Xenopus tropicalis: one gene and its partners. The main gene of each other region encodes a partner of the protein of the gene in region 3 in a complex. Links are inferred from orthologs where the notes say so. Each region holds a gene or a part of one and is shown on either strand. Other genes may lie near its edges. The genes, in order: bcas2, rnf113a, cwc15, snrpd1, cwc22, scnm1 and dhx16.

Region 1 (4,071 bases), on a different chromosome or scaffold from region 3:
GCATCTTTACTGGCACAGATCTTCCCTGCTGAAGGGCTGTGTGGCTGGTACAGAAGCCCAAAACATAATGTACAGCATTTCTGCCCTACTTCTTTAGTTTCCATGCTATTTGCAGTATTCACACCAAGTCAGAGCCAGACAGATAGGGGAAAAGTTTCATTTGCTGATGCTGGAAGTGTCTCTGGGCTCAGTGCTGCTTGTGTCTCCGCCTGCACAGAACAGCAGGGGGCGCTCCTGTTACACCTTCATGATATTAACATTGTAAAAACAGATGAGACCCAGGAGGAAGGGCAATGCCAGGCTTTCCCACTGTATCTCTATGGCCTATAGAAGACAGTTCATTGGTTTTTACGCTGATTTCCTCTCACTGTTACACACATGACCCGTTATCTGTCGAAGCTGCCCATGTGGGAAATCCGTCCCAGCTCAGAACATACCTATTTCCCTCTGGTGAGATCAGGCACTTGTGCAGAGACGGGGGTGCTATCTAATATATAATGGTGTGCCCCCACCCAGGCCAGGGTTACGGTTGTGTGGGGTGCTCAGTACAGACCCCCAGGAGCGCACAGGATGATAAAAGTGGAAGATTTCTGGAAAACACTTTATTATTAATATTACAGTGAAAAACAAGTCAGAATTTCCTTATAAAAGCCGGTATGTGCCCGGCCTACGAGGCAGCACTGGGGCATTTGGGTGAAACAGGGAGACCCATCCCTGCGCCTATCAGCACCCAGGCAGAGACTACTCGCTACATTTCCAGAGTGAAGAGCCATAAAGCAACCAGAACCCCCAGCAGCGCTGCCCAACATGGCGCCAGAGTCTCTGCAGCAGGACCGGTGCTGTTACCCTGGAACCTGTAATCCTTGGGGCAGGGCCTTAATAATCTTCAATATTTTCCTTATTCTCCCCGCTCCTCTCTTTCAGCTGATAGACTTCATTCTCCATTTGCACAATTGCTCTCTCAATCTCGTAGTTTTTGCTCACAAGAGACACCCACCTGCAACCGGCACAGAAAGCAAGTTAGAGACAGACGAAAATGACTACCAGTTCTATTAAAGCTAAAATATTAGCATCCCATAAATACCATACACTGTACTAAGCACAATTCAGCAGGAACAGCCCCCTAAGTTTGCTCATAGCCTGTACAGAGAGATACCATAAAACTATGGCACATAGGGATTCCCCTGTACTAAGCACAATTCAGCAGGAACAGCCCCCTAAGTTTGCTAATAGCCTGTACAGAGAGATACCATAAAACTATGGCACATAGGGATTCCCCTGTACTAAGCACAATTCAGCAGGAACAGCCCCCTAAGTTTGCTCATAGCCTGTACAGAGAGATACCATAAAACTATGGCAGCATAGGGATTCCCCTGTTCAGCAGGAACAGCCCGCTAGGCACACTCAAAGCCTGTGTGTACTTCATTCATGGAAATACAGTATAGGGGAGTAGGTATTCCCTTGATAAGTTCACCCTAGGTGTGAACAAAATGCACAAATCTCACTTACGTTGACTCCATCTCTCTGAGTCGGGCACCTGCTGTCAGCTGGGAGTTCTTTCTCTGCCAGTTCAAGTCCTGAATCTTTTTCCTGTTCCGGTAACAAGACAAATAGTGAAAGCGTTAGAGCTGTTAAAATGGAAGTGTGCAACTGCTAGTAATACCCCAGGGCTAGGAACTACCCCACGTAGGTAACTCGAAGCTCATCCCAGTAATTACACAGGAACTGAGCTCTAAATCTCTGCACTTCCTGCTTCTGGGCTGCTCTCTTCCCCACGGCCAGGGAAGGATTATATATATATATATATATATATATATATATATATATGGTTAGTATGGGCTTAATGCCGTCTCACCGTAACTTCTGGAGATCTTTCTGCGCGCAGTCGATCATATGCAGCAGGTTCCTGGGAGGAGACAGAAGAATCACGTGACTGAAGGGCGGCAGTATCATTGGGTCATGCTATATCCTGTGCTGTAAATCAACACCCCCCCCCCCCCCCCCCCCCAACGCCATGTTCCCAACTCACTCGTTATAGACTTTCCAGGCGTTACAGCCGTGCTGGGACATGAGCTCCAGGTTCTCTATACGGACGGCCTGGTGTTCCAATTGGGCCATGGAGTTATTGACACATTCCTGCCACGCGGTGATGTCGTTCCTCTGGCCGGATAGGGGGGCCGGTAACTCATACCTAGAATCAGAGAGAGGGGTATGGTATTTCCACGGATACCCTTCAGCACAATGAGACCACATGGAAACCACAGGGCTGTAAAGCAATGCACAGATCTTGGTCCAGTAACCCATAGTAACCAGACGGCACTCACCTCTTCATGCTGAGCAGTTCGAGGGGCTGGCGCGACGAAAGTCTTTCAAACTCGTTCCTCATGATTTCAGTCTAAATAAAATGAATGAAAGTTGGAATCTTGGTCTCCTCTGTGAAGGGAACATGCCCCCCACCCACGTGATATTAGCACCAGTAGGTGCCAGGGTGGGCTCTGTGCATGCAAACCCCTCGGGGTTATGGGACTATGAAAGCAATCTTTGGAGAACTGACAGACATAAGGACGAGTAGTAGCAGAATGAATAATGAAGTATTAATATTTTGCAGAGATATCAAGTTGCTAGGGTCAAATTTACCCTAGCAACCAGACAGTGGTGTGAATGAGTATAGGGGAGGGGCTGGATAAAAAGTAACAGTAACAATAAAATTGAAGCCTCACAGAGCAATAGGTTCTTAGTTGCCAGGGTGAGTTCTCTAGCAGGGAAGCCATTTGGTTGGCCAATGTGCAACCACCGTGAATAGAGCAGAGGGGCACCCAGTGTAGGGTGCTGCAGAATAGGGAGAAAGCCATTACCTCAAATGCGGAATAGTCGGGGGTGGGCAAGTAACTCAGGTAGTTCTTTGTAGGCCGATATCTTCTGGTCTCCTCTTCCACCAAAGCTGCAGCCTGAGAGCAACACAGACCGGTTATTTACAGTAGAAATGCCCCCAATGGGAGTCATGTGACACACAGGGGCAGCACAGACCGGGTATTTACAGTAGAAATGCCCCCAATGGGAGTCATGTGACACACAGGGGCAACACAGACCGGGTATTTACAGTAGAAATGCCCCCAATGGGAGTCATGTGACACACAGGGGCAGCACTGACCGGGTATTTACAGTAGAAATGCCCCCAATGGGAGTCATGTGACACACAGGGGCAGCACTGACCGGTTATTTACAGTAGAAATGCCCCCAATGGGAGTCATGTGACACACAGGGGCAGCACAGACCGGGTATTTACAGTAGAAATGCCCCCAATGGGAGTCATGTGACACACAGGGGCAGCACTGACCGGGTATTTACAGTAGAAATGCCCCCAATGGGAGTCATGTGACACACAGGGGCCGCACTGACCGGTTATTTACAGTAGAAATGCCCCCAATGGGAGTCATGTGACACACAGGGGCAACACAGACCGGTTATTTACAGTAGAAATGCCCCCAATGGGAGTCATGTGACACACAGGGGCAGCATTGACCGGGTATTTACAGTAGAAATGCCCCCAATGGGAGTCATGTGACACACAGGGGCAGCACTGACCGGGTATTTACAGTAGAAATGCCCCCAATGGGAGTCATGTGACACACAGGGGCAGCACAGACCGGTTATTTACAGTAGAAATGCCCCCAATGGGAGTCATGTGACACACAGGGGCAGCACAGACCGGGTATTTACAGTAGAAATGCCCCCAATGGGAGTCATGTGACACACAGGGGCAACACAGACCGGGTATTTACAGTAGAAATGCCCCCAATGGGAGTCATGTGACACACAGGGGCAGCACAGACCGGTTATTTACAGTAGAAATGCCCCCAATGGGAGTCATGTGACACACAGGGGCAGCACAGACCGGGTATTTACAGTAGAAATGCCCCCAATGGGAGTCATGTGACACACAGGGGCAGCACTGACCGGTTATTTACAGTAGAAATGCCCCCAATGGATGTCATGTGACACACAGGGGCCGCACAGACCGGGTATTTACAGTAGAAATGCCCCCAATGGGAGTCATGTGACACACAGGGG
Region 2 (4,545 bases), on a different chromosome or scaffold from region 3:
CACAGTGACTTTGGGTGCAGAAACAGAAGGTTGCAAATATGAGTGGAAGCTAAACTGTTCCTTTGCTAACAGAAGCCAGCTATAAGATTAATCAGTCCACAAGTTAGAAAATAAAAGTAAAAAACTGACTGCTGCTATGGGTAATTGCTCATACTTGTGTACTTAAATTAGGCCCAGTATAAGTGAAACTAGCTGTGAGTAAAACTTGCAGTGTTACATAATAAATAATAGTAAGGGAAGAGAGAATAAAATATGGGCAAAAAGGGCCAAAGGAACAACAGACATTTAATGGAAAGGGGTACAACACAATCCAGCAACTGACCTCCAAACCCACAGAACCCAGTCTCCTTGTAATCTTTGCAAATATCTGGCTGGTAATCCCAACGTACTGTGGCTCTGAGGTGCTCTGGGGCACGTATTGGTCCTTTCCTAAAATGATAAAAGTTAAAGTTATCAATGCAGACTAAACTATTAGGATTTAATCACCCAGTTGATTGAAAAGTGAAATGTTTCTAAATTAAAACAGAATGGAAAGTGGGAGGGGTACACGTACCTAACCATGCCAGAGGATGCATTGCCCATAGAGGTATCTTTGGGTTTCACAAACTTCTGGTAGTTGTGGATTCCTCGATAGATCTTGTCATCTTCCTTCCCCTTCAACTCCTGTCAGATTAAAGCAAAATAAATAGTGGGAACTAAACAGAGTGTCATCTATGAAAAGGAGAGTATTACAATATTAAAGAAAGTAAAGTGAAGAGAAAAAAAGCACAGAATTTTTAAAGAAACTGCATGTAAGTCATGCAGAACACTGCATGCTTTACTAACACTTATTGCATTCCTTAGTGATCCCCAACCATTGGCTCGGGGGCAACATGTTGCTCACCAACCCCTTGGATGTTGCTCTCACTGCCCCCAAAGCAGGTGCTCATTTTTGAATTCTTGACTTGGTGGCAAGTTTAGGTTGAATAAAAACAAGATTTGCTAACAAATAAAGCCTCGTAAGCTGATGGTGTGCATAGAGGCTACCTATCTTATTTGGCACCTCCACAAACTTTTATGGCACTTGTGTTGCTCTCCAAGTCTTTTTACATTTGATTGTGGCTCATGAGTAAGAAAGGTTGGGGTTCTCTGCTTTAGTGGTTCTCTCATAGTTTAAGGTGAATATATAATCCACTGCATCACATACTAAATACTCACTTCCTGTACTTTCTGGCTCCTCTCAAAAATTGCCTGAGCATCCTTGTCTTTTTCAGTGTCTAGTTCATATGTAGCTGTGGCTCCCATGTCATCTGGCCCTACTGGTTTCTGCAAGAAACAAAGAATGCATACATAGTAAGAAATGGGGGGTGTCTTAGACATGTCATTCTATAAATACAGATTTTTTTTCAATGCATCATTTATATTGAAACAAGACAGACAGCATAGGCTGATTCACAAACTGAATAAAATATCACAAAGAACTAACTGATGATGGGTTTCAAAGATTTTAACATTTATGACATAAAGCCTGTGCTAAGAATAAGCCAATTCCAAAAGAGTCTCTTACCGCAGATCGGGTAGATTTATAAGACACAGTGATAGACTTCGCTGTTTTGTCCTCATCTTCACTGCTGCTTGCTTTGTAATCTTCACAGTCCTTTGGTTGCTGCCTGCTCTAAATCACACACAGAGGTAAATACAACTACCAGAAAGCTCAAGAGGACAAACACTACACACATCCCTTCTGTGGCATGTTAACGTCTGTCCTGCACACAGGGTGACAGGCTGGAGAGGGTTATGGCATGTGTTGTGCTTCCATTCAGCCATTAGCTGCCAGGAGAAGATGATGTGGTATCTATATCTCTAAACAGAGAGGTCTACAGGAAATATCTGGGAGAAGTGTTGCTGCCCACTCTGAAAGATTAACTGGCAGAAAATTTTATAAAGCTCCTTAATGCTCCTGGGGCCTCAGGGTGACATAGTGAATACCTGTGACTCTAACCTTCTGAATCATGGGATTAACCACATCCTTCTTTATCCTCCTTATCACTGGACCTTTCTCTTCCTCGCTGCTCTCTGCAAACAAATCAGTAAAGGACTGATCAGAATAGTACAACACACTTATACAACAGATGCATCTAAGTACTATTCTGAAATTCGATAAATTTAAGACACCAAATGCATGTGAGCCCAGTGACATAAAGGTATGGGATCCCTTATCCGGAAACCTGTATCCAGAAAGTTCCAAATTACGGATCTCCTATAGTCTCCATTTTAATCAAATAATTCACATTTTTAGAAATGATTTCCTTTTTCTCTGTAATAATAAAACAGTATCTTGTACTTGATTCCCAACTAAGATATAATTAATCCTTATTGGAGACAAAACAATCCTATTCAATATTTAAATGATTTTTAACAAACTAAAGTTATGGAGATCCAAATTACAGAAAGACCCCTTATCAGGAAAACCCCAGGCCCTGAGCATTCTGGATAACAGGTCCCATACCTGTACCAATGAACAGTAAATGAGGCTGTATGTATAATTATATTTGTTGTTGTTAATGTTTTGCAAATACTTTGATGGGTTTGATTTTTGTTTTGTCATTTGGACCTTAATTCCCTGGTACATGCTACTGATTTCTAATGGTAATTATATCCAGCAAACAATACAGCCACCCTCACCTGCATCTCCTTTAAGATAGTGGTTTTGAGTAAGGAACAAAGTCGAATAGTTGGCCAATATACACGTTTGAAAATAAAAGCAAAAACCTTATTGGTTGCTAACAGCAACAACACTTGCGCAATTAGTTGTATCTGCGCTCTCTTCTGCATTTAACTCATTTACTCCATCCCAACACTTTGCTGAATTTTATACACGGTAAGCGTGTAATGCCTATAATACTATATTATAATAAACATTTATTTGCACTCCCACTTTCTCCTTGTCTCACCATTGTCCGATTCTTTGCGTTTCCGTCCCGCGAACTTTCGGGCACTTTTTTTAAACACGAAACTGCAAACTGGTGCGTTAGAGTCCGCCATTATTCCTGTGACGCCAGACTAGCTCCAGATTGCGCGCATTGGCTGAGGCCACTTCCTGTTTAGAAAGCGCACGCAGGCGCATTACCGGGGGGAAGTCGCGTTGCTCCAGTAGCAAGATGGCAGCGCGCAAAGCGAAACGTGTGAGTTCGAGCTTTGCCAAGCAAAGTGATGCCGAGCGCCACGATTTGGATAGCAAACTCGCAGCAGTACTGGGAAGTAGAACCAATGCCAACGCGGTGTTTGATATTCTGGAACATCTGGAGGTGAGTGCCCGCTTTGCAGTGTGCTAGCAAACAGTATAACAGCAGCCCTGACAAAGAAGAACATCTTTTGCACGAAACAGAAACACAACATTTTGTGTGACAGTATGCACGTCTAAACAGTGTGACTGGAAGTATTTTAAAGTTCTTATAACAGGGCTCGGCAACCAGTGATAGAAAAAGACAGATGGGAGATGGCCATTAGGGAAAAAAGGAAATGTGAAAAATTACATTTTTGCAGAGAGAGAGAGCTTTTAGCGAGGGTAACATATCAGATTGCTAAGGTTACCAGCCTACTCAACGTATAATTGATGTTATTATTAATCAGCAAGAAAGATCCTGTCTGAATATTTATTTAGAAAAGACTGCAGCCTACAGACAGGGCCAGGTGGGCAAGGCGTGACAGCGGTGGGCAGAGCTAAGATTGAATGCTCAGGTCTGAAAAGAGTGGAACTGCTGGTACATCAGGCCGAATTGTTGGCAGTCAGAATCAGCACTGGGTGGTGCAGGGAAAACAGAATGGCATGAATACATAGTTGTGGGTAATGGGAGAGGAAAATTCTAGTAGCAACGACAATTCCATGAAAGATTCTTTCTAACCTCTTGTCTTTTCTCATTTGCTTTCCCTATTACCTCCGCTGCCCTTTCATTCAGGACCTTCTGTTTTGATCTCACACTTTTCCTAACTTTCCCCTTTATCCCCCGCAACCTTCTGACTCTCACTTTTCCGATTACCACACATTTTCACCCCCTCCATAAACAGAACAACAAATGTGTTTGCGAGTTTCAGTTCTCCTATATTACGGTATAGAATCAGTCACACAGGAACTGTTCCCTTGTGATTATTGTTTGGTCTGTAACAGCTTGTATATTCCTCCCCATAGTAATCACAGTCTATGTACTCCTGAGAGCAACTTAGAGGTCTTTAAAAATTCTCTAGATACTTGCATGCAAGCTAATGTGTCGTTAAATCTCTTACTTGATAGTGGTTCCCTTCTCGGAACTCTGCCAGCGTCTTCATGTGACAATGCTCCTCTACAGGATTACTGTTCCACCAGCTAGAATTTTCCTTCTCCAATTTGAACCCCCCCCCCCCCCCCCCCCCCCACATATGATCTCTGTGTCCACTGTGCCGCTGCTGCCTCTTCCTGGACACAGGGGTCTTCTAAAGGGAGCTTGAGCCTTGTTGTTCTGTTTTGCACAACTATGTGTTTGTATTGTTAAAACCATGCTTTATTCACTTTGCACTTGTTTTTGATTA
Region 3 (4,397 bases):
GCCTGGGGAGGAACTGACCGGGAGACTTGCTGATTAACCAAACAAACTTCTTTATTCCAAACAGCATTCAGTGGTAATAAATGCAGACTCCGGTATCTCTCCCTTATATCCAAACCTGGAGTTTCTCTTGCTCCAGATAATCTCCCGTTTGGGAATATACTGTGACCTGAGCCAGCCACTGAATTTCCCTGAGCTACGGCCAGTAATGCCGGGAGGTGATAACCTCACTGATCTCCTCGGAGGGGCCTCAAACTGCCCAACTAAATACACTATCTATCTAGTATAAATAAATTTAAAGCAACTGGACTTGTTTGGTAACAAACAAGTCCAGTTGCTTTAGGGCTCTGGCACATGGGGCGATTAGTCGCCCGCGACAAATCTCCCTGTTCGTGGGTGACTAATCTCCCCGAGTTGCCATCAGTTGCCATCCCACCGGCGAACATGTAAGTCGCCGGTGGGATGGCACACGCGGCGCGATTTCGGCAAGTCGCCGAAAATGCCTCGCGAGGCAACTGCGCAGCGTGTACCATCCTTACATGCTCGCCGGTGGGATGGTAGTTCAGGGAGATTAGTTGCCCGTGACAAGGGAGATTTGTTGCGGGTGACTAATCTCCCCTTGTGCCAGAGCCCTTACATTTATTTATACTAGATATACCATGACCTGGATGAATGAAAATCTTCATAGACATACACTATCTATCCTTTCACTCCTAGAGTGACAATAAAATGTCTAACTGGCTCCTGTAGCTAACCTCTTAGAGAGGTGAAGTCCCAGGAAGAAGACCTCATGGTTTGTGAGTCCATTCCCTTTTATATTGCAGAACACCACCACCTAGTGGTCACTGCTGAACTGCAGAGGAAACTCTCTTTTAATCTGGAAAGAATAATTATAATAATATAATAATTAAAGATGAATTAAAAAGTTAAAAAAAAAATTGTAGATGTTTATGTAAAGTTGGGGGGAACACAGGTCAAAAAATTTCATAACGGTAATGATGCTTCATTGTTATTTGTATATGACAATAAACTAGAAACTATAGCACACACACAATTAGGACCACCCTTAGGTCCATATCCCACAAGGCCACCCACTGGTATGCCTGTCTAAAGGGGAACCCAGGCACAGGGGCCCAAATCTTGGGGTCCCTACATAAAAATTATTAAAAAGAATTAATGAATAACAAAAAAGGGCAACTAATTTAGTAAAGAGAAATCTCAGTTATGAAAAATGACTGCTCGGAAATGTTCTTATGTAAACCAACACAGAGAAGTCAGAAGCCCTGCACAGTGTTATATAATATTCTCCCTTTACCGCACATACACCCCCTGATTCATTACATAGCCACAACAAACATGGCCGCCGACGGCTTCCAATCAGCTGGAACGCCCTCTTGCTTACGTGACGCGTACTCCGAGCGCCGGAAGTTTCCCGGTGGAAAGAACTAGCGCGACGGGTAATTGTGACGCCAGTCGCCGTGGGATTTGGTGCTGGGGCTGAGGCGCTGTTACGGGGTGAGCGAAATCGCACCTTTGGGAAGAGGGGAATTCAGGCTGAACGGCAGCGATTATTTTAGTCATAGGGGATTGAGGCCCTCTAGGAGCAATATATCGCCCCCCACTATCCCTGTTGGCTGGGGAAGCTTACAGCTCGGCTTTATCTACTTAGCAATACTGTACCCTCCTGCCCAGTCTGTGAGTCCCCTGCTAATGTAAGGGAACTCGGCTGGTTAAGCCTATGGCCAGCAATATCAACTTGAGGGACAATTGAAAGTACAGGCATGGGATCCCTTATCTGGAAACCTGTTATCCAGAACGTTCCAAGTTACAGAAAGGCCATCTCCCATAGACTCCATTTTAATCAAATAATTCAAATTTTTAAAAATGATTCCCTTTTCTCTGTAATAATAAAACAGTACCTGTACTTGATCCCAACTAAGATATAATTACCCCTTATTGGAGCAGAACAGCCCTATTGGGTTTATTTAATGGTTAAATGATTCCCTTTTCTCTGTAATAATAAAACAGTACCTGTACTTGATCCCAACTAAGATATAATTACCCCTTATTGGGGCAGAACAGCCCTATTGGGTTTATTTAATGGTTAAATGATTCCCTTTTCTCTGTAATAATAAAACAGTACCTGTACTTGATCCCAACTAAGATATAATTACCCCTTATTGGGGGCAGAACAGCCCTATTGGGTTTATTTAATGGTTAAATGATTCCCTTTTCTCTGTAATAATAAAACAGTACCTGTACTTGATCCCAACTAAGATATAATTACCCCTTATTGGGGGCAGAACAGCCCTATTGGGTTTATTTAATGGTTAAATGATTCCCTTTTCTATGTAATAATAAAACAGTACCTGTACTTGATCCCAACTAAGATATAATTACCCCTTATTGGGGGCAGAACAGCCCTATTGGGTTTATTTAATGGTTAAATGGTTCCCTTTTCTCTGTAATAATAAAACAGTACCTGTACTTGATCCCAACTAAGATATAATTACCCCTTATTGGGGGCAGAACAGCCCTATTGGGTTTATTTAATGGTTAAATGATTCCCTTTTCTCTGTAATAATAAAACAGTACCTGTACTTGATCCCAACTAAGATATAATTACCCCTTATTGGGGGCAGAACAGTCCTGTTGGGTTTATTTCATGGTTAAATGATTCCCTTTTCTCTGTAATAATAAAACAGTACCTGTACTTGATCCCAACTAAGATATAATTACCCCTTACTGGGGCAGAATAAGCCTATTGGGTTTATTCAATATTTGAATGATTTTTACCAGACATAAGGTAGGAGATCCCTTATCTGGTCACGAGCATTCTGGATAACAGGTCCCATACCTGTAGTATCATTCTGCCTTTCCTGTGCTCTGCGCTGCTGCTTCTGACTCCTGAAGCTGTGTAGAAAAAGTCAGCTTATGAAAGTAGGAATTTTAAAACAGTTCTTGTATTTGTGTGTGAAACAGTTGTGTAAAAGATGACAACCGCGGCCAGGCCAACGTTTGAACCAGCAAGAGGCGGCAGAGGTAAAGGGGAAGCCGATCTCAGTCAGCTCTCAAAGCAGTATTCCAGCAGAGACCTCCCCTCTCACACTAAGATCAAATACAGGTATGTGAGTGGCTAAGGCATGTAAGATATTTGTTCTGTAGTCCTTAACATGGCACAGTGAATTATGTTGGTCATTAAAGGGGAAGTATATCCCCCTTTTCAAGATTATTTCACTTGTGCTTGTGTTGAACATTCTTTTTGTTATTATTTACAAACCATTATGAGACACCTCTGTATATGGGTGAAGACACACGGAGCTACTAGTAGCAGCTACTTGTCACGGCTACTAAAATAGACAGTGCTGATCATTTACTGATAATTGTCTCTAAATTGTGTGTTTTAGCAGAGGCAATTCTCAGTATTGTCTGTGGCAGGGGATTTTCTGGCGTTTAGTAGCCGTGACAAATAGCTGCTACTAAGTACCATGTGTCTTCATCCTAATACCTGTTCCTTATCACAGAGCCTAATGACTAAAGGCTGCCCCTGGGGGAAGGGAGGGGTTTGTTTATACAGTGGACTTTTCGTATGTATATATTTATTAAGCGGTACTTATGTACGCAGCGCTGTACAGTAGAATACATTAATACAAACAGGAGGTTATTAAAATAATAGATAAATACAAAGTATAACAATAAATACAGATAAATACAAGATACAGTTGCAATAAGTTAAGAGTCAAAGACACAAGAGGATGGAGGTCCCTGCCCCGTAGAGCATACAGTCTAGATGGGAGGGTAACTTACAGACACAAATAGGCAAATATAAGTGCTGTAGGTCACAGTGGGTGACATTACAATATAAGTGCCAGTTCCCAGATCAGGTGCTGGGTGAGTGCTCCAAAAGTTAGTCTTTAAGTTTAGTTTTAAGAACACTGGGGAGGATTTTCTTCGGAGGAAATCTGGGAGGGCATTCCAAATATAAGGGGCAGCAAGTTGGGAAACTGCAGTAGTAGTGGGGGGGGGGCGTAACCAAGCAGTTACTCTGCGAGGAACAGAGGAGTCGACCAGAAATGTACGGCGACACAAGGGAAGAGATGTAGTGAGGAGCAGAGGAATGGAGGGCTTTGAAGGTTAGGAGAAGGAGTTTGTAAGATATTCTTTGTTTAATAGGAAGCCATGATAAGGACTTTAGCAGGGGAAGGGCCTGAACTCTCCTGGATGAGAGGAGGAGAATTTTGGCAGCAGTGTTTAATATAGACTGTAGTGGGGAAAGATGGGAGTTAGGGAGGGCAGTTAGCAGCAGGTTACAGTAGTCAAGTAGTCGGGATAGGATGAGAGCATGCATGAGCAGCCTAGCTGTTGCAGTAGAAAAAAAGGGACAAATTTTAACAATATTG
Region 4 (4,493 bases), on a different chromosome or scaffold from region 3:
ATTTGACCAACCCACACTGGGACTTGGCACAAATTGCAATGGGCTTTTTAAATTCCTTCTTAGCATTTGGGCTGTATAATCAGGTTTAGCTTTGTCTGGGGTAGGACTATCAGAAGCAGAGTTAGCTGAAAGTAATGAACATCAAAAAGCTGCTAATGACAGAACAAGAACAGGTATAAGTGCAGGGCTTACCAGGAGAGAAAGGAATTTAAACATGTGGGGCCACATACACGTATTTCTGATCAAAAGCATCTGTTAGATAGGAAGTTGCATTCCTGGCAACCAAGAAGGGGAAACAACACTTAAATCCATGTTCGGCATGTAACCTAAGATGAAAACCTGAGCACTGCCTGAACTATGGGACAGAAAATAAAAAGCTTCTTGTGGTAGGGGCAGTGGCTTTACATCATTCCTGACTTTAACTTGGCACAATAGTATCAGGATTGGTAATAAGGCTTTAGTTGCTGCTGACAGCAGCCAGACAAATTACACTGTGTGTAATTGTCCTAATGGAAACTACCTGGCCATGTAGTACAGGTTGTTATTAACATTTTCTACCACATATTTTTGGATAAGAGCAGCACGGACGGCTTCAAGCTTGGGTCTGCCAGCTTAAATACACACAGAACTGCCCAACAAGCACTAAGTATTCTTTAACATACAATTAAAAAGAACAAAAAAAAACATGCTCCAACATGTTTTAACATCTTGGGATAAAAAAAAAATCAAACATCTATGAAAAACCTTTTTTTTTTATTAGGCTTTCAAATGCAACTTATATGCATTAAAAACAAAGACACAACCAACTTTGTTACAAAAAGAACTGAATGCCAATATTCAATATCAATTACCTAGTTGCAGAACCCAGATTTTAACCGATTTGTGAATTTAAATAGCAACCTGAAAAATATTTGTATTTGACCAAAGCATTGAAGGGAATGCAAGAAGAAAGTTGTTACTGGCACCTGTCCAATGCACTGAATGGACTGTTACTAATGTAAAGGAACAGTGAAGAATATAACATCACAAGGATTCCTATAACACTAATGCTGGTCATATACAAATGTGTGGCAGGGATGCAGTGTACATAACAGGAATCATTTACTAACACTAAGCACCAGTGCAGTAACCAACAGTAACCAATTAAAATGTATTTTCTACATCCAGTAGATCAAAATGTATTCTATATGGTTACTGTACCAAGCTAAAGCACCCAGCATTAGTAAATATGCCTCAATAAGTAGTTAACTAGTACAGTGTACAAGTAATATCATGAAGTAGTATTTGTGTGCATTCAGGTATGAAAAAAAAAAACTGTACAAAAACATCCTCTAATGGCGAAGTTTTCACATATATTATCTTCTTGGGCCTCCTCTACCTCTTCCTCGCCCTCGGCCTCTACCACGGCCTCTCCCTCTTCCTCTGCCAGCAACTGTTTAGAAACAGAAATCAGGTGAGGATCAGTAAAGTAAAAACAAACAAAAAAAAAAAACAAAACACATACATACATTTGCTAAAACAGAAATATCAAGTAACAGTTTCCAACAGATCTTCGAATTTCGGATGTATATTATGGCATTATATTGTTTTGCAAAATAGTTCCAACCATATAAAATAATGAAGTAGATATAAAGGAAATATACCTTCATAGCAAATCCCATAATGTACACACACTACCTGCACACTGAAACACTACTTCTGCCTAATGCAGTTTTGTATGCCATTGTATCTAATGAATATACCAATCTAACCACTTCAGGGAGTACATCAAACACCTTCCTAGCTCTTACTGTTGGAAATTAATACTTCTATATTTATGCTTACTGCATTAAAAGCAGTGGATGATATATTATGGGATGAAGCAATGCTAACTACTTCAAAACATTATTTAAAATGTAAAAATAGTTGATAAAATGCTCTGCCTTTAACACCTTAAGATACTTTGGACTGGCTTTTAAAGACAGCCTAATCTCTTCGTTCCTGTCTCCCACCCCTATGCAATGAACAGAGGAAGGGGAATGAGTGGAGCCTGACACACAAATGCCCCAACAGCCGACATGTGGAAACCACTTGTGAGTGTTTTACTTGCAATGATGCAAAAGTAAATGAATGAGAAGGCAATTTCAGGGGATTTGTTGCTGTGGTAACGCAGATTTACTACAGGCAACAAATTTCTGTGTGCCAGTACCCTTAGCACTGCATTTCACAACTAACAATCACATTCTAGCCATTGTTAATCAACGGAATTACAAGTTTGTTTTAATGTTTAGAGGCCATCTCCACACAGGCAATCCTACTATTGTTTCTACAGTTTTACCTAAAAAGCCCATGCAACCCGATTAATAAATACCAACATACTGCAGGCTGTACAGCTAATATTTACAGATTTGAGCTGCCCTTTGACATAGTTCACCATTCTGGGTTCCTCTGGCAGGATAGAGGTTTCTATTATGTAATCCCATCTAACATGATCACCTTACTGAATAAATATTACATACAATTTGCAGTCATCACACGCAGCTCAACATGGCTTAAAGGAGAAGGAAAGGCTGAGTCACCTGGGGATGCCAAAATGTAAGGCACCCCCAAGTGACTTTAAATTGCTTACCTTTTAGCCTGGGCTGGTGCCCCTGTTAGGAGAAGACCGCACCAGCCTGGGGTACCTGCGAGCGTCTCCCCTTCCTGCTTCTGGCGCTTGCGCAGTAGAGTGGAAAGCCAAACTTAAACAAAAAAGCCAGCCCAGGGATTTTGCCGACAGAAGGAAGCGCTCGCTGCAGGTACCCCAGCTTGGTGCGGTTTTCTCCTAACAGGGGCACCAGCCCGGGGTAAAAGGTAAGTGACTTAACCTTTCCTTCTCCTTTAATTTATAAAAAGTGACCCAGATTGACAGTTGGTGCTTTTGGGAACCGTCTGTTTGGATAGGAAACTGGCTACACAACTGCGTTAGAAAGTGTAGTTTTTAATGCATTCTCTACTTGGGTTCTTAACAGGGTGCTGCAGGGTTCTGTTTTGGGTCCACGTTTATTTAATTTGTTTATTACTGACTTGGTGGTGGGAATTGTACACTGTAAGTAGTGTATTGGTGTTTTCAGATGAAAAAACTATTCTGGGCATCTTTGAAACAGGATCAGGACAAACTGGCAACCTAACAGGTTTTATTTAAACAAAAGTAATACAATAATTCAGGTTGAAAAAGTGACTCATATCCACAGAGTTCAACCTTTTGCTCCGAATTAAACCTGCCTAACTGCCCGTTGTATAGATGTGTGTCCTTTTAACCAAAATTAATATGTTATGTTTTGGCACCAGTAACGGTTTTGGTGTTCCAATAACAACTTTTTTTTTTTTTATATACACAATAGAACAAAAAATATGAAAACTATACTTACCAGCCTCCCTCTTCTTTGACTTAACTTTTGGCTCCACATCAACAAGTAACGTGTCAAGAGGCAAACTGTCTGGTAGAATGAAGTAACGAATATTATTTCCTCGAATACTTAATGTTTCCAATTGAACAGGCTCTCTATTCTTCACTGTCATTTTAACGGCTTTCAAATGCGTATTCATGCTCACATCTACTCCTAAAAGAAACAAAAAAGTAAAAAAAAATGAAAATCAAGGCGTCATCATTGTTTACAACACAACTTCATATGACAGAATAAAACAAAGTCTTAAAAAAAAAAAAATATCTTTAAAATTCAGGGATTAAATAATGAGCATTATTTACTTTTACCTTACTAAAGGGATTGGCATATGGGTCAATTCTGCCCATTTTGTTGTTAAAGTATTTGCCAGCACTTTGTATGGGGTTATGTTCAAGGTTTAAAAATGAATGCTTAGTTTCTTCTCAGATACTATGGAACTGCACAATCTTATTGGTCAGAGGGTCAAGCATATGATGTTGGGGTAAATGGATGGCAGACTAATGCTCAGCAACAATAGCAAAGGTGCTTTGTCCTTTGCTATAATTCTATGATACCATTGTGTGGCACAAGCTAATTAAACTACTCGGGAGGACACTATAATAAAACAATATTAATCTAGGGTCATACATGTAGAGATTCAATCAATTTAACCCAAAACCACACTCCTCCTATTTGATTAACCGGATTGGGCCACTCCATATTACTGAAGGTAAGATGGAAGGATTGTAATTTTGGGGTAAATGGATGGCAAATTTTAAAAGCTCAGGGGCTCTGAAAATGTACAGGTTTGTCCTTTTGATTAATTTTATGATACCAAGTACTAGCAAAATCGGATTGGTAGGTGTGTGACTTAGGGGCAAACAAAAGGGGGTAGTAAAACCATTTATCTAAATTTGTTTTATGACTGATATTTTGAGACAAAATTATTAGCGTGGGCTAACAGAGCCTTTATATAATAATTGTTTTTTTTTTTTTTTTTTTATAGCCCCCTACAGTGCTAGGCTGCCAGCACTGGGAGGAAGGTCCTGGTTCAGGCAGCCATGTTGTGGCACTCACATGTGCATAACA
Region 5 (3,772 bases), on a different chromosome or scaffold from region 3:
GACCGGTTTCGCTCCCTTCTTGGGGCTCATCAGTGTAGTGCAGGGTTTTCTGATCAGCGTAGGTAGAGACAGGAGGACCGCCTCATACATATGCCAATAAACCTTGCCTCAGCATCTGTGCAAGGACAGCCGAGTGTACAAAGACATACTGTACATGCTAGTATATACAGATATCACAGAACCTACCTGAGTCACTGCTGGAGCTTGATGATTCGCTGTCACTAGAAGAACTGGAGCTACTGTCCGAGTCAGAAGAAGACTCCGACCCTGATGAGGAGTCTGAAGAATCCGACGACTCAACATTCTGTTTCTGGGTCATGATCATTTTAGGAGCATTCTTCAGGTGTTCACGCAGTTCATCCCTATGCAATTGAATAAAGAATATACAAAGGCATTAGTCTAACAATGTTGGATGAACTAAAGAAACATGTTAGTTTATGCCTGAAAATCAATCTCTTACGTTAACCCGCCAAGTCCAATGGAGGTAAAAAAGTTGATAGCAAAGCGGGTGTTCTTTGGGTTGTCCATAGGTAGCAATCCTTGAAAGAAAGGCTGAAGTGTTCTGTTAAAGGGGAAAAAAAAGAGACTTATACTTAGAATACACAATGTGTAAATACATGATCCAAGTTCCTTTAAATAAACTGCTTCAATGGCAATTATCTCAACACTGAGCCAGAAATACTTGGATTTCAGGTTTAATGTCTAATGGCTGGCATTAGTTCTAGTTTTGCACAGCTCTGTGGAAGTTGGAAGGCAGTTACTTGCAAGGCAACTGAGTCAAATCATCACCCTGATTTTGTTATTTTCCATACACATTTCCCCACAAGAAATATTTTAAGATGAAAGAACATTTTCATTTGCATTATTCCAAGCTTCTGTAAAGGTAATACTGACTCAGCTTGCAGTTTTAGCCCAGTCTCAATGGGAGATAGCTACAAATTACTGTTCTCCTTCTGTACGGTTCCCATTGTGTTTATAAAGCCATTACAAGGAGCCAGAATGGAGCATGGGCTTGTGAGCCAGGGGATGTGGCATGCCACCAGTGAGAGAATGACCAGCCAACAGGGTCGTATATGGCACTTTCCATTGCAGGGATAATGCTTGAATCTCTAATGAAAGATAACATATCTATACTTACCTATGTATTCCCATGTAATAAGCACAATTGAGTTAGAAAAATATAAAGCTATAGCAGCCCTTTCAAGAGAAGGCACTTAGTGTAATAAAGATCCAATATACTTGCAATAGTTGCATTATCTAACACTTACATGTCCTTAAGTCTAGCATTTAGCTTTGGTAGCCCCATATATTCACACAGCTCCTGGAAAAATATTTTGACAAATATTCTGCTGGACGAGGTGGTTGTTTCTTCACTTAGATTTATACACTCCAACACCTGTAAAGCACAAGCATAGAAAAATAGCTTAATTAGACATTAGAAAAGACTAACACATTAGTACACTGCTAAGGGGCATGGTCTAAAAATACAAAGAATGTATTAATGTCTCCTCCCACAAATATTTGCATGAAGAAAAAACATGTCATCCTAAGTAATTTTGCAAATGTCAAGGGCCTGATTGGTTGATTGTCCCCAGAATAGTGCAACAGCTCTACTAATGTTTGCCAAAACTACTGCCTGGACCCACTGCCCAACCCCACCTGAAAATGCCTTATCCACAGCCCAAACTGCAACCGACTGACCACCATTAAACAGGAAGTGTGGTTGCTGCAAACTGGAAGTTACATCATGGCAGATTCTGTTAATGCCTATAAGAGGGGCCTGGATCCAAGGCTATTGAAATTCTAAAATCTACAGTTAGTATTAATGTTTGTATATATAGTTTATGTATGCGAGTGTATAGATTGGTAAGCATAGGTTTGTGTGTGCTGGGTTTACTTGGAAGGGTTGAACTTGAGGGACTGGTCTTTTTTCAAGCCTATGCAACTATGCTTAAAGGAGTAATATATACAGTGGAGGAAATAATTATTTGACCCCTCACTGATTTTGTAAGTTTGTCCAATGACAAAGAAATGAAAAGTCTCAGAACAGTATCATTTCAATGGTAGGTTTATTTTAACAGTGGCAGATAGCACATCAAAAGGAAAATCGAAAAAATAACTTTAAATAAAAGATAGCAACTGATTTGCATTTCATTGAGTGAAATAAGTTTTTGAACCCTCTAACAAAAAAAGACTTAATACTTAGTGGAAAAACCCTTGTTTGCAAGCACAGAGGTCAAACGTTTCTTGTAATTGATGACCAAGTTTGCGCACATTTTAGGAGGAATGTTGGTCCACTCCTCTTTGCAGATCATCTCTAAATCCCTAAAGTTTCGAGGCTGTCTCTGTGCAACTCTGAGCTTGAGCTCCCTCCATAGGTTTTCTATTGGATTAAGGTCCGGAGACTGACTAGGCCACTCCATGACCTTAATGTGCTTCTTCTTGAGCCACTCCTTTGTTGCCTTTGCTGTATGTTTTGGGTCATTGTCGTGCTGGAACACCCATCCACGACCCATTTTCAGTTTCCTGGCAGAGGGAAGGAGGTTGTCGTTCAGGATTTCACGATACATGGCTCCGTCCATTTTCCCGTTAATGCGAATAAGTTGTCCTGTGCCCTTAGCAGAAAAACACCCCCAAAGCAAAATGTTTCCACCCCCATGCTTGACGGTGGGGACGGTGTTTTGGGGGTCATAGGCAGCATTTTTCTTCCTCCAAACACAGCGAGTTGAGTTAATGCCAAAGAGCTCTATTTTGGTCTCATCAGACCACAGCACCTTCTCCCAGTCACTCACAGAATCATTCAGGTGTTCATTGGCAAACTTCAGACGGGCCTGCACATGTGCCTTCTTGAGCAGGGGGACCTTGCGAGCCCTGCAGGATTTTAATCCATTGCGGTGTAATGTGTTTCCAATGGTTTTCTTGGTGACTGTGGTCCCTGCTAATTTGAGGTCATTAACTAACTCCTCCCGTGTAGTTCTAGGATGCTTTTTCACCTTTCTCAGAATCATTGACACCCCACGAGGTGAGATCTTGCGTGGAGCCCCAGAGCGAGGTCGATTGATGGTCATTTTGTGCTCCTTCCATTTTCGAACAATCGCACCAACAGTTGTCACCTTCTCTCCCAGCTTCTTGCTAATGGTTTTGTAGCCCATTCCAGCCTTGTGCAGGTCTACAATTTTGTCTCTGACATCCTTGGACAGCTCTTTGGTCTTTCCCATGTTGGAGAGTTTGGAGTCTGCTTGATTGATTGATTCTGTGGACAGGTGTCTTTTATACAGGTGACTAGTTAAGACAGGTGTCCTTAATGAGGTTGACTAATTGAGTAGAAGTGTCTAACCACTCTGTGGGAGCCAGAACTCTTAATGGTTGGTAGGGGTTCAAAAACTTATTTCTCTCAATGAAATGCAAATCAGTTGCTATCTTTTATTTAAAGTTATTTTTTCGATTTTCCTTTTGATGTGCTATCTGCCACTGTTAAAATAAACCTACCATTGAAATGATACTGTTCTGAGACTTTTCATTTCTTTGTCATTGGACAAACTTACAAAATCAGTGAGGGGTCAAATAATTATTTCCTCCACTGTAGATGAGCAAGACAATATAAGAGAAATACTATAGATATGAACCGCATGTGAAAATCCTTCCTACAACCCGCAGCTTAGCAGTTTTTTTGTGGGTAGCCTGCAGGTGCAACCTGCTGTAGGACCATAACTTTAAGCTTCAGCTTCATGAAACATAGTTTCATCCTGGATAGGGTTCACATCACATGACA
Region 6 (4,469 bases), on a different chromosome or scaffold from region 3:
GCTATTGGCTACTGATCTGCAAATGAGAAACAGCAGAGAAATATAATTGTCGATAATATGGTTTGGCCATAAGAACAGAGAAATCCGGGGGCCATTAGCAATGGGTCATTATTATATCAATCATTCACATAATGCTCAGCCCCAACTGATTTACTTGTGAGAGCAGCAGCTGTTGTACGGGGCAGATTTCAGCAGAGCATGCTGGGTAATCTTCCTTGTCTGGACCAGCAAAGGGGCGGGACCTGGTGGACGCTGGCAGATATGAGAGCAAATAAAAAAAAGTTACTCAAAACTATGGCAGCATAGGGATTCCCCTGTACTAAGCACAATTCAGCAGGAACAGCCCCCTAAGTTTGCTCATAGCCTGTACAGAGAGATACCATAAAACTATGGCACATAGGGATTCCCCTGTACTAAGCACAATTCAGCAGGAACAGCCCCCTAAGTTTGCTCATAGCCTGTACAGAGAGATACCATAAAACTATGGCACATAGGGATTCTCCTGTACTAAGCACAATTCAGCAGGAACAGCCCCCTAAGTTTGCTCATAGCCTGTACAGAGAGATACCATAAAACTATGGCAGCATAGGGATTCCCCTGTACTAAGCACAATTCAGCAGGAACAGCCCCCTAAGTTTGCTCATAGCCTGTACAGAGAGATACCATAAAACTATGGCACATAGGGATTCCCCTGTACTAAGCACAATTCAGCAGGAACAGCCCATTAAGTTTGCTCATAGCCTGTACAGAGAGATACCATAAAACTATGGCACATAGGGATTCCCCTGTACTAAGCACAATTCAGCAGGAACAGCCCCCTAAGTTTGCTCATAGCCTGTACAGAGAGATACCATAAAACTATGGCACATAGGGATTCCCCTGTACTAAGCACAATTCAGCAGGAACAGCCCCCTAAGTTTGCTCATAGCCTGTACAGAGAGATACCATAAAACTATGGCACATAGGGATTCCCCTGTACTAAGCGCAATTCAGCAGGAACAACCCCCTAAGTTTGCTCATAGCCTGTACAGAGAGATACCATAAAACTATGGCACATAGGGATTCCCCTGTACTAAGCACAATTCAGCAGGAACAGCCCCCTAATAGCCAATAGCCTGGAGAAAGAGAAATCTGCCCACCTGTTCTCCTGCATCTTCTGCCTGTACAAAATCAAAATGGCGCCTCTTCTGGATCTCATTGTTATGCTCCAGCTTCTTGCCGTAATACCGCTGCTGACCTGTAGGAGAGTTGAGAGGGAGTCAGCGGCCCATTGCACAAATATGTATTATAGACATGTGACCAGTCATTAAAGGGGATGTTCACCTTTGAGTTAACTTTTAGTATGATATAGAGAATATTCTAAGACAATCTGCAATTGGTCTTCATTTTTTATTATTTGCAGTTTTCCGCAGCTATGTGGTTGCTAGGGTTCAAACTACCTTAGCAACCAGGCAGCAGAATGAATGAGAAACTGGTATATGAACAGAAGAGGGCCTGTATAGAAAGATAATGGGGGAGGAGACAGAATAAAACCTGGTATTGGGGCAGAGACCAGTAGCTACAGGCTCCACATTAAAATGGCATACAGGAAATGAAGTCATAACAGGAAGTTAAGTCACAAAGTCAGACAGGAAGTTATAAATACAAAAATAAATAATTAATAAATCAACAGGGGAACATCCCTAGGCAAGTCTTCGGATCCGCAAATGCCAGACAGGACGTTATGTCAGAAATCTGGAGAGGAAATGAAGTCATAAGACAGGAAATGGATCTCTTTTCTAGTCAGTAACTTACCGGCTAAGTGCTTCTTCCCGCTTCTGTGCACAGACAACATATCGATGGTACTGAAGACGGGCCGGTGATGGCACACGGTGCAAGCGTAGCTGTTATATACACAACACAGTTACACAGAGGGATAGGCAGGGGCCCCGGAATATAAGGGTATATAGAAGCAAGCCCTCCCAGGGGCCCACACCGAGGGAACCAATCAGTGGAGAGACCCTTACCTGCCATTTTTAAGAAGCAAAGCCTCATCCTCCGGGATGTAACTGGCCAGCAGATCCGCCACTCGCCTCTTCTGTAGGGAGACAGGAAATGGGATATTAAATTAACCCTTCCCCCTTACAACTGCACCCTACTCTGCCACAGGCACCCTACCCACACCCCAAACCAAAACCACAGACACCTTACCCTTCCCCACCCACAGGCACCCTACTCTTCCTTACCCCCACCCACAGGCACCCTACTCTTCCTTACCCCCACCCACAGGCACCCTACTCTTCCTTACCCCCACCCACACGCACCCTACCCTTCCCTACCCCCACGCGCCCTACCCTTCCCTACCCCCACCCCCAGGCACCCTACCCTTCCCTACCCCCACCCCCAGGCACCCTACCCTTCCCTACCCCCACCCCCAGGCACCCTACTCTTCCTTACCCCCACCCACAGGCACCCTACTCTTCCTTACCCCCACCCACAGGCACCCTACTCTTCCTTACCCCCACGCGCCCTACCCTTCCCTACCCCCACGCGCCCTACCCTTCCCTACCCCCACGCGCCCTACCCTTCCCTACCCCCACCCCCAGGCACCCTACCCTTCCTTACCCCCACCCCCAGGCACCCTACTCTTCCTTACCCCCACCCACAGGCACCCTACCCTTCCCTACCCCCACGCGCCCTACCCTTCCCTACCCCCACCCCCAGGCACCCTACTCTTCCTTACCCCCACCCCCAGGCACCCTACTCTTCCTTACCCCCACCCACAGGCACCCTACCCCACCCACCCACAGACACCCTACCCTTCCCCCCACCCCCAGGCACCCTACCTTTCCCTACCCCACCCTTCCCCCCACCTCTAGACACCATACCCTACCCTTCCCCCCCCAGACACCCTCCCCTCCCCTGTATGGGTATCACCCCGTACCTTTAGAACGTTCAGCTGGCTCAGATCATCCCCATCCCGTTTAAACGACATAGCCCAGCCTGTAGCGCCCCCTTTGAGAGCTGTAACCCTGCGCGGCCACCGTACTCCTTTCTGCGGCCTTACGGGAAATGTAGTTTATTTCCGGAGAGGAGGAGGCGGAGTCCGGGCATTATGGGACTTGTAGTTCCGTGAGAGCCGCGAATCCTGGGGCAGAGCCTGTGCTGCACTACTGCTCCCGGCATGCCTTGCTCCTGTCACCCCTGCCCAGCAGTGAGCTGTGTATTATTGGGTACTTGCCTGTGCTGGGCAGCTGGAAGGGCTGTGGGTCTGTGCTGGGGGTATTGGGGCAGCTTTTAGCCCAGCCCAACCCCCTTGGGCAAACCCCTGTCAGTGCTGTCATGTGATACTAATGAATTCTCCCTTTTTCTTTCAGTCTGATTGAATTAGTAGCCCAGCATGTGACTGAGGGCTGCAGGGACTCCATCTCTGCCTCCACTTCTGCCTCCACCTCTGCCCAGTCAGACAATGTATAGTTAACTTGCCCTTTAGAGCTCACAAGCCATGGCATCCAACTCTGGGCACAGAGACTCTGGGCTTCTCCATGGAACCAGGACCCGTTCCTATGGCAGCCTAGTCCAGTCGCCCTATTCACCGGCCCGGATCCGCAAACTGGAGCACCAGGTCCAGCCCGGGGACACACTGCAGGGCTTGGCACTCAGATACGGCGTCACGGTGAGTACGGTACCTTCCTATTATAGGGTGTAGGGTGCTGGGAGTTGCAGTTTAGCAACAGCTGGAGACCCCTTGTGTATAACTGGTAATATCTAACAGCTGTTAGTCTCATATGCCCTTTGTACAGTTCTCTACTCCCCCCCCCAGGGGACATGCCTTACCTGCCCCACCCTAGAACCAACCCCCCAGGATGTTATCAGGAAGGCATTGGGTTCAGATACAGCCGGTGGGCCTGATAAACATGAAGGGAAATGAAAATATGGTGAATTTGGTGCACGACACTGTCAGGGCACATTCAGTCCTTATACAAAGTCTCCATTCTCTGGGTATCCGGGATCAGGCTGCATCCTGGTTCTCTTCCTATCTCTCTAACCGCTCCTTCTCTGTCGCTCTTACTAACCAATCCCCTACCCCGGTTCTGCTTAGTGTGGGGGCTCAGCTCAGTGTGGGGGTTCAGCTCAGTGTGGGGCCCTTTGCTTGGCCCTTTGCTGTTCTCCCTGTACACTCTCTCTTTAGGAGACCTTATTTCTTCTTTTGGTCTTAAATATCACTTCTCCTCCTTTCACCATGACTATTGATGGCATGACCGTTAACCCTGTTAATTCTGCACGCTGCCTTGGGGTTATCTGCCATTTTTCCTCTGCAATATTGCCAAGATACGCCCCTTTCTTTCACAAGTAACAGCTAAAACACTAATCCATGCCCTTATCCTTTCTCGCTTAGATTACTGCAATCTCCTACTAACCAGCCTCCCAGACTCCCACCTCTCTTCCCTACAATCTGTCTTCAAAGAGGGAAGCTCTGCCGGGTACAT
Region 7 (3,772 bases), on a different chromosome or scaffold from region 3:
TTTTTCTAAAGATTCTGTATGAGGCATGATGTATTCATATGTAACAGAAGTCCCCTGCCTAAATACATACAAATCCAGAGATTGCATAATGGATACCTGTAAGATGCCAGATCAGGCTCAGTGAGAAATTCCCGCAGTAACATCCCATCTGTCATATACTTCAGCACTGTGCGCTCAGATGTGCAGTCTTCAAACCGAATACTATATCCCACCTAAAGCAAAAAAGTGCGAGTAAAGCTTTTGCTACATACAGAAACTCCTCTCTGTAGTCTTTGTTTTTTAGAATGGTGTTAAAAATTCAAATATCAATAAAGGAACATAAATGATTTAAAGGAACAGTAACACCAGAAAATGAAAGTGTATAAAAGTAACTAACATATAATGTGCTGCTGCCCTGCACTGGTAAAAGTTGTGTGTTTACTTCAGAAAGTCTACTATAATTTATATAAATAAGCTGCTATGTAGCCATGGGGGCAGCCATTCAAAGGAGAAAAGGCACAGGCACATAGCAGATAACAGATAAAACACTATTGTATTCTACAGAACTTTTCTGTTATCTGCTATGTAACCTGTGCCTGTTCTCCTTTTTTCCAGCTTGAATGGCTGCCCCGTGGCTACACAGCAGCTTATTATATAAATTATAGTAGTGTTACTGTAGCAAACACACCAGTTGTACCAGTGCAGGGCAACAGTGCATTATATTTTTATTACTTTAAAGCGCTTTCTTTTTTTAGTGTTATTGTTCCTTTAAGGTGTGGTTGAGGATGTCTCACAAAGGTGCTCTATTGACCATGAAAATATGTCACACCTTGATTTTCACAATTGGTTGGATGCAAACACAGTGACGATTTAGGAAAGCTTACTTGGCAAAGTAGTTACCATATGAAACAGAGATATGAAAAATATACAAAAATGAAGAAAATGTGTGGAAATAAAAAAAAAAAAATTACCTCGTTGCCTAATTTAACACCCATCTCTTGAGAAACTCGTGCTGATACACTCATGGCAGCCACTCTTCGAGGCTGAGTGCAGCCAATCTTCAGGCCATTTTTAGTATAACCCTATAAAATAAAGAGGCAGAGAGTTTGTTTTTTTTAATAATACGGGCAGTAAAATATGTTTTTATACAATGAAAGTGTCAGTTACTGTGTCAACAGTGTAAATATTATGGGTTAGGATCCCTTGCTTTTCCATGTAGAATAACTGGTGATACAACTTACATGTTCGTGCAGGTACTGTGGTATTTGGGTAGTTTTGCCAGATCCAGTCTCTCCTTCAATTATAAGAATCTGATGATCAGAGATTGCTTGAAGAAGATCAGAACGATATGGGAAGACAGGGAGGCTTCGCCGAACCTCTTGTATAGACAGTTTCTTTCGTTCTGATTCTGACAAGACTTCAGAATTCTCCTCTTCCTATACGGAAAACAGAGGCTACGATAAGCAGAGACACCTACAATGTCATCCAATGTGCTCATAAAAACAAAAATGCTCCATGGGACAGCCACTAGTACCTCTACAAAAAGTAATACAAATGGTGAGCAGTATCACACACAAAACGTTTATTTGGTTCACAAAACAATGATAAATTTCTCCAAAAATTAAACCATACCAAAAAGAATAGAAGCATGTGACTGCTGCCTAATAGAGCACTTAGGTACCTCTGCTTTTTCCATTTTAAATCAGCAAGCCAGCCATTTATTTAGCAGTATATCAATTAAATCGACAAATTAAACTGAGACTTTTAACCCAGTCCAATTATTATTTATAAAATATTTATTTGTTTTATTTATAGTTTGTACAATTATTTTCAACATTACTGAGCCACCAATTTGCTGTTCTGCTGTACTAAGTAAGCCCTAAGTAAGTATTTAATGCTTTACGTACCTTATCTATTGTTCCCTTCATCTGTGCCGAGCTGACAAACTGTATGACCTCATTTTCTTCCATGACAAAATCATACTCCTTCTTCCCATGATCATGTGCATCCTTTGCTCCAAATCTCAGAGAGGCTGCCCCAATATGCTCCTCCTCCCACCGCCTTTGCTCTTCACGAGGGGCAAATCTTTCCTCAGACATAGGTTCCTCATAGCGATCAGGAATTTTCTGTGATAAGATAAGTGTAAAATTCACAACCCATAAAACATAATTCCCAAATGTATGCATTATACTTTTAGGCAAAAATTACTAAATGCTTATATACTTCTTAGGAGAATTGTATTAATATACCCAATTACTATTCATTCCAAGTGAGGAGTGTTTTAAAATGAACAGAGTTGCCCTAGTTACGTAAAACGAAATGAAAAGGAAACCTCCTACAAAATTGGTAAAACCACCTATTAAGAAACAATGCGGAGTTTATTCATACCTTACTCCTGTTTTCTTCTGGCATAAAATAGCGGTCATGCTTTTCCATCCTCTCTTTGTCCCCAGCTTTCTTGTATTCCTTTGCAAGGTCACGCACCCTTCGCTTATATTCAAGCTCCTTCTGCTCTACTGAAGTCAACTCAGGTTCCACAAAAAGATACTCCTCATCTGCGATCTCTGCCTCTAGATCCTCCAGCTTCTCTTTTTCTCTTTTATTTAGATATTCCCGACGGGACTTCTTCCTTAGCTCAGGAATCTAACAAGTTACAGGATGCACAATTGATGAAAATTATATTCCACACTGTCATACATTAAACTGTTAAGGAATAAGCAAGCTAATCTTATTATAATGTACACATATCTACATATCTGTGTAACTAAATGTTCTTTACTCACTAAAATGAGTAGGTAGCACATCATACTCATTATTTATACTTAAATACACACTAGAATTCATGATAGTCTAAATAACATTAACTGGATTTTTAGTTTTTTTTTTTATTTACACCAGCTATTGCTAATGCTACACATATACACCCCCTTTACATTTATGCGCATGACAAAAAAACCCTATACAGCAATACACAAAGATGTGAAAAACAAATGTGTCCCAAACTACAACATATGCACATATATTATCTCTCTCAATCTATCAGCACTCTTTATGTGGCCTTTTACCTTCATATGGTAACAGAATTCCTTAAAGGGATACTGTCATGATTTTTATGGTGTATTTTTATTATTAAATTACACTGTTTACATGGCAAATAATTCACTCTACCATTTAAAATGTTATTCTTAAAAAATGTAATATTGATGTGTAGGCAGCCATCTCAGTGCACTGCACCCAAGTCTGAGCTTTCAGAAAGAGCAAGCGCTACACATTAGAACTGCTTTCAGGCACGCTACTGTTTCTCCTACTTAATGGATCTGGAGAAGTCATAACCCGGACTTGGATTTTTTATTATTGAGTGTTGTTATCATATCTACCTTCCCATGGTTCTGCTGATCGGTTGCTTGAGGGGGGGGGGTTGAAGGAAAGGGGTGGTATCACTCCAACTTGCAGCTCAGCAGTAAAGTGTGACTAAAGTTTATCAGAGCACAAGTCACATGACTGGCACCCTGGGAAATGAAGAATATGGCTAGACCGATGTGAAATTTCAAAATTAAATATAAAAAAATTAATTTCAGTGCAGGATTCTGCTGGATAAGCTCTATTAACCGATGCATTTTGAAAAAAAACATGTTTTCCCATGACAGTATTCCTTTAAAGAACCCTGTAATAACAGTAGCTATTGCATTAACCCTTTTACTGCCAGCCATTTTGGTCAAAGCGGAACTTGTATTGCCAGACAGTTTTTGAACATTTTGCACTGTTTCCCTTTAGGGGCCTTTCCTCGGGGGGA

Evidence for each region.
Region 1: cwc15 (region 3) and bcas2 share a complex: the UniProt entries of both Homo sapiens proteins name them as parts of the PRP19-CDC5L splicing complex. The link is inferred for Xenopus tropicalis from reciprocal best matches to the Homo sapiens genes CWC15 and BCAS2.
Region 2: cwc15 (region 3) and rnf113a share a complex: the UniProt entries of both Homo sapiens proteins name them as parts of the minor spliceosome. The link is inferred for Xenopus tropicalis from reciprocal best matches to the Homo sapiens genes CWC15 and RNF113A.
Region 4: cwc15 (region 3) and snrpd1 share a complex: the UniProt entries of both Homo sapiens proteins name them as parts of the minor spliceosome. The link is inferred for Xenopus tropicalis from reciprocal best matches to the Homo sapiens genes CWC15 and SNRPD1.
Region 5: cwc15 (region 3) and cwc22 share a complex: the UniProt entries of both Homo sapiens proteins name them as parts of the minor spliceosome. The link is inferred for Xenopus tropicalis from reciprocal best matches to the Homo sapiens genes CWC15 and CWC22.
Region 6: cwc15 (region 3) and scnm1 share a complex: the UniProt entries of both Homo sapiens proteins name them as parts of the minor spliceosome. The link is inferred for Xenopus tropicalis from reciprocal best matches to the Homo sapiens genes CWC15 and SCNM1.
Region 7: cwc15 (region 3) and dhx16 share a complex: the UniProt entries of both Homo sapiens proteins name them as parts of the minor spliceosome. The link is inferred for Xenopus tropicalis from reciprocal best matches to the Homo sapiens genes CWC15 and DHX16.

Annotation. Positions count from the first base shown.
Region 1 is NC_030682.2:7,012,394-7,016,464, reverse strand, and holds the end of bcas2 (pre-mRNA-splicing factor SPF27), read right to left. Parts: intron 2,949-4,071; coding exon 2,856-2,948; intron 2,396-2,855; coding exon 2,325-2,395; intron 2,192-2,324; coding exon 2,030-2,191; intron 1,907-2,029; coding exon 1,856-1,906; intron 1,591-1,855; coding exon 1,510-1,590; intron 998-1,509; coding exon 877-997; 3' UTR 588-876; downstream 1-587. UniProt on the Homo sapiens protein: Required for pre-mRNA splicing as component of the activated spliceosome. Component of the PRP19-CDC5L complex that forms an integral part of the spliceosome and is required for activating pre-mRNA splicing.
Region 2 is NC_030677.2:156,458,193-156,462,737, reverse strand, and holds the start of rnf113a (RING finger protein 113A), read right to left. Parts: upstream 3,043-4,545; 5' UTR 3,025-3,042; coding exon 2,934-3,024; intron 2,056-2,933; coding exon 1,982-2,055; intron 1,655-1,981; coding exon 1,547-1,654; intron 1,306-1,546; coding exon 1,198-1,305; intron 664-1,197; coding exon 554-663; intron 430-553; coding exon 323-429; intron 1-322. Other genes in the region: noc4l (nucleolar complex protein 4 homolog), read left to right, coding at 3,141-3,287. UniProt on the Homo sapiens protein: Required for pre-mRNA splicing as component of the spliceosome. As a component of the minor spliceosome, involved in the splicing of U12-type introns in pre-mRNAs. E3 ubiquitin-protein ligase that catalyzes the transfer of ubiquitin onto target proteins.
Region 3 is NC_030678.2:164,534,982-164,539,378, reverse strand, and holds the start of cwc15 (protein CWC15 homolog), read left to right. Parts: upstream 1-1,477; 5' UTR 1,478-1,512; intron 1,513-2,979; 5' UTR 2,980-2,990; coding exon 2,991-3,121; intron 3,122-4,397. UniProt on the Homo sapiens protein: Involved in pre-mRNA splicing as component of the spliceosome. Component of the PRP19-CDC5L complex that forms an integral part of the spliceosome and is required for activating pre-mRNA splicing.
Region 4 is NC_030682.2:65,065,380-65,069,872, forward strand, and holds the end of snrpd1 (small nuclear ribonucleoprotein Sm D1), read right to left. Parts: intron 3,582-4,493; coding exon 3,390-3,581; intron 1,433-3,389; coding exon 1,356-1,432; 3' UTR 737-1,355; downstream 1-736. UniProt on the Homo sapiens protein: Plays a role in pre-mRNA splicing as a core component of the spliceosomal U1, U2, U4 and U5 small nuclear ribonucleoproteins (snRNPs), the building blocks of the spliceosome.
Region 5 is NC_030685.2:63,130,209-63,133,980, reverse strand, and holds part of cwc22 (pre-mRNA-splicing factor CWC22 homolog), read right to left. Parts: intron 1,397-3,772; coding exon 1,269-1,396; intron 563-1,268; coding exon 461-562; intron 363-460; coding exon 187-362; intron 1-186. UniProt on the Homo sapiens protein: Required for pre-mRNA splicing as component of the spliceosome. As a component of the minor spliceosome, involved in the splicing of U12-type introns in pre-mRNAs. Promotes exon-junction complex (EJC) assembly.
Region 6 is NC_030684.2:137,909,041-137,913,509, reverse strand, and holds the start of scnm1 (sodium channel modifier 1), read right to left. Parts: upstream 3,070-4,469; 5' UTR 2,975-3,069; coding exon 2,924-2,974; intron 2,078-2,923; coding exon 2,007-2,077; intron 1,884-2,006; coding exon 1,795-1,883; intron 1,238-1,794; coding exon 1,140-1,237; intron 253-1,139; coding exon 155-252; intron 17-154; coding exon 1-16. Other genes in the region: lysmd1 (lysM and putative peptidoglycan-binding domain-containing protein 1), read left to right, coding at 3,485-3,655. UniProt on the Homo sapiens protein: As a component of the minor spliceosome, involved in the splicing of U12-type introns in pre-mRNAs. Plays a role in the regulation of primary cilia length and Hedgehog signaling.
Region 7 is NC_030684.2:75,485,539-75,489,310, forward strand, and holds part of dhx16 (putative pre-mRNA-splicing factor ATP-dependent RNA helicase DHX16), read right to left. Parts: intron 2,623-3,772; coding exon 2,368-2,622; intron 2,106-2,367; coding exon 1,887-2,105; intron 1,416-1,886; coding exon 1,221-1,415; intron 1,062-1,220; coding exon 951-1,061; intron 213-950; coding exon 97-212; intron 1-96. UniProt on the Homo sapiens protein: Required for pre-mRNA splicing as a component of the spliceosome. Contributes to pre-mRNA splicing after spliceosome formation and prior to the first transesterification reaction.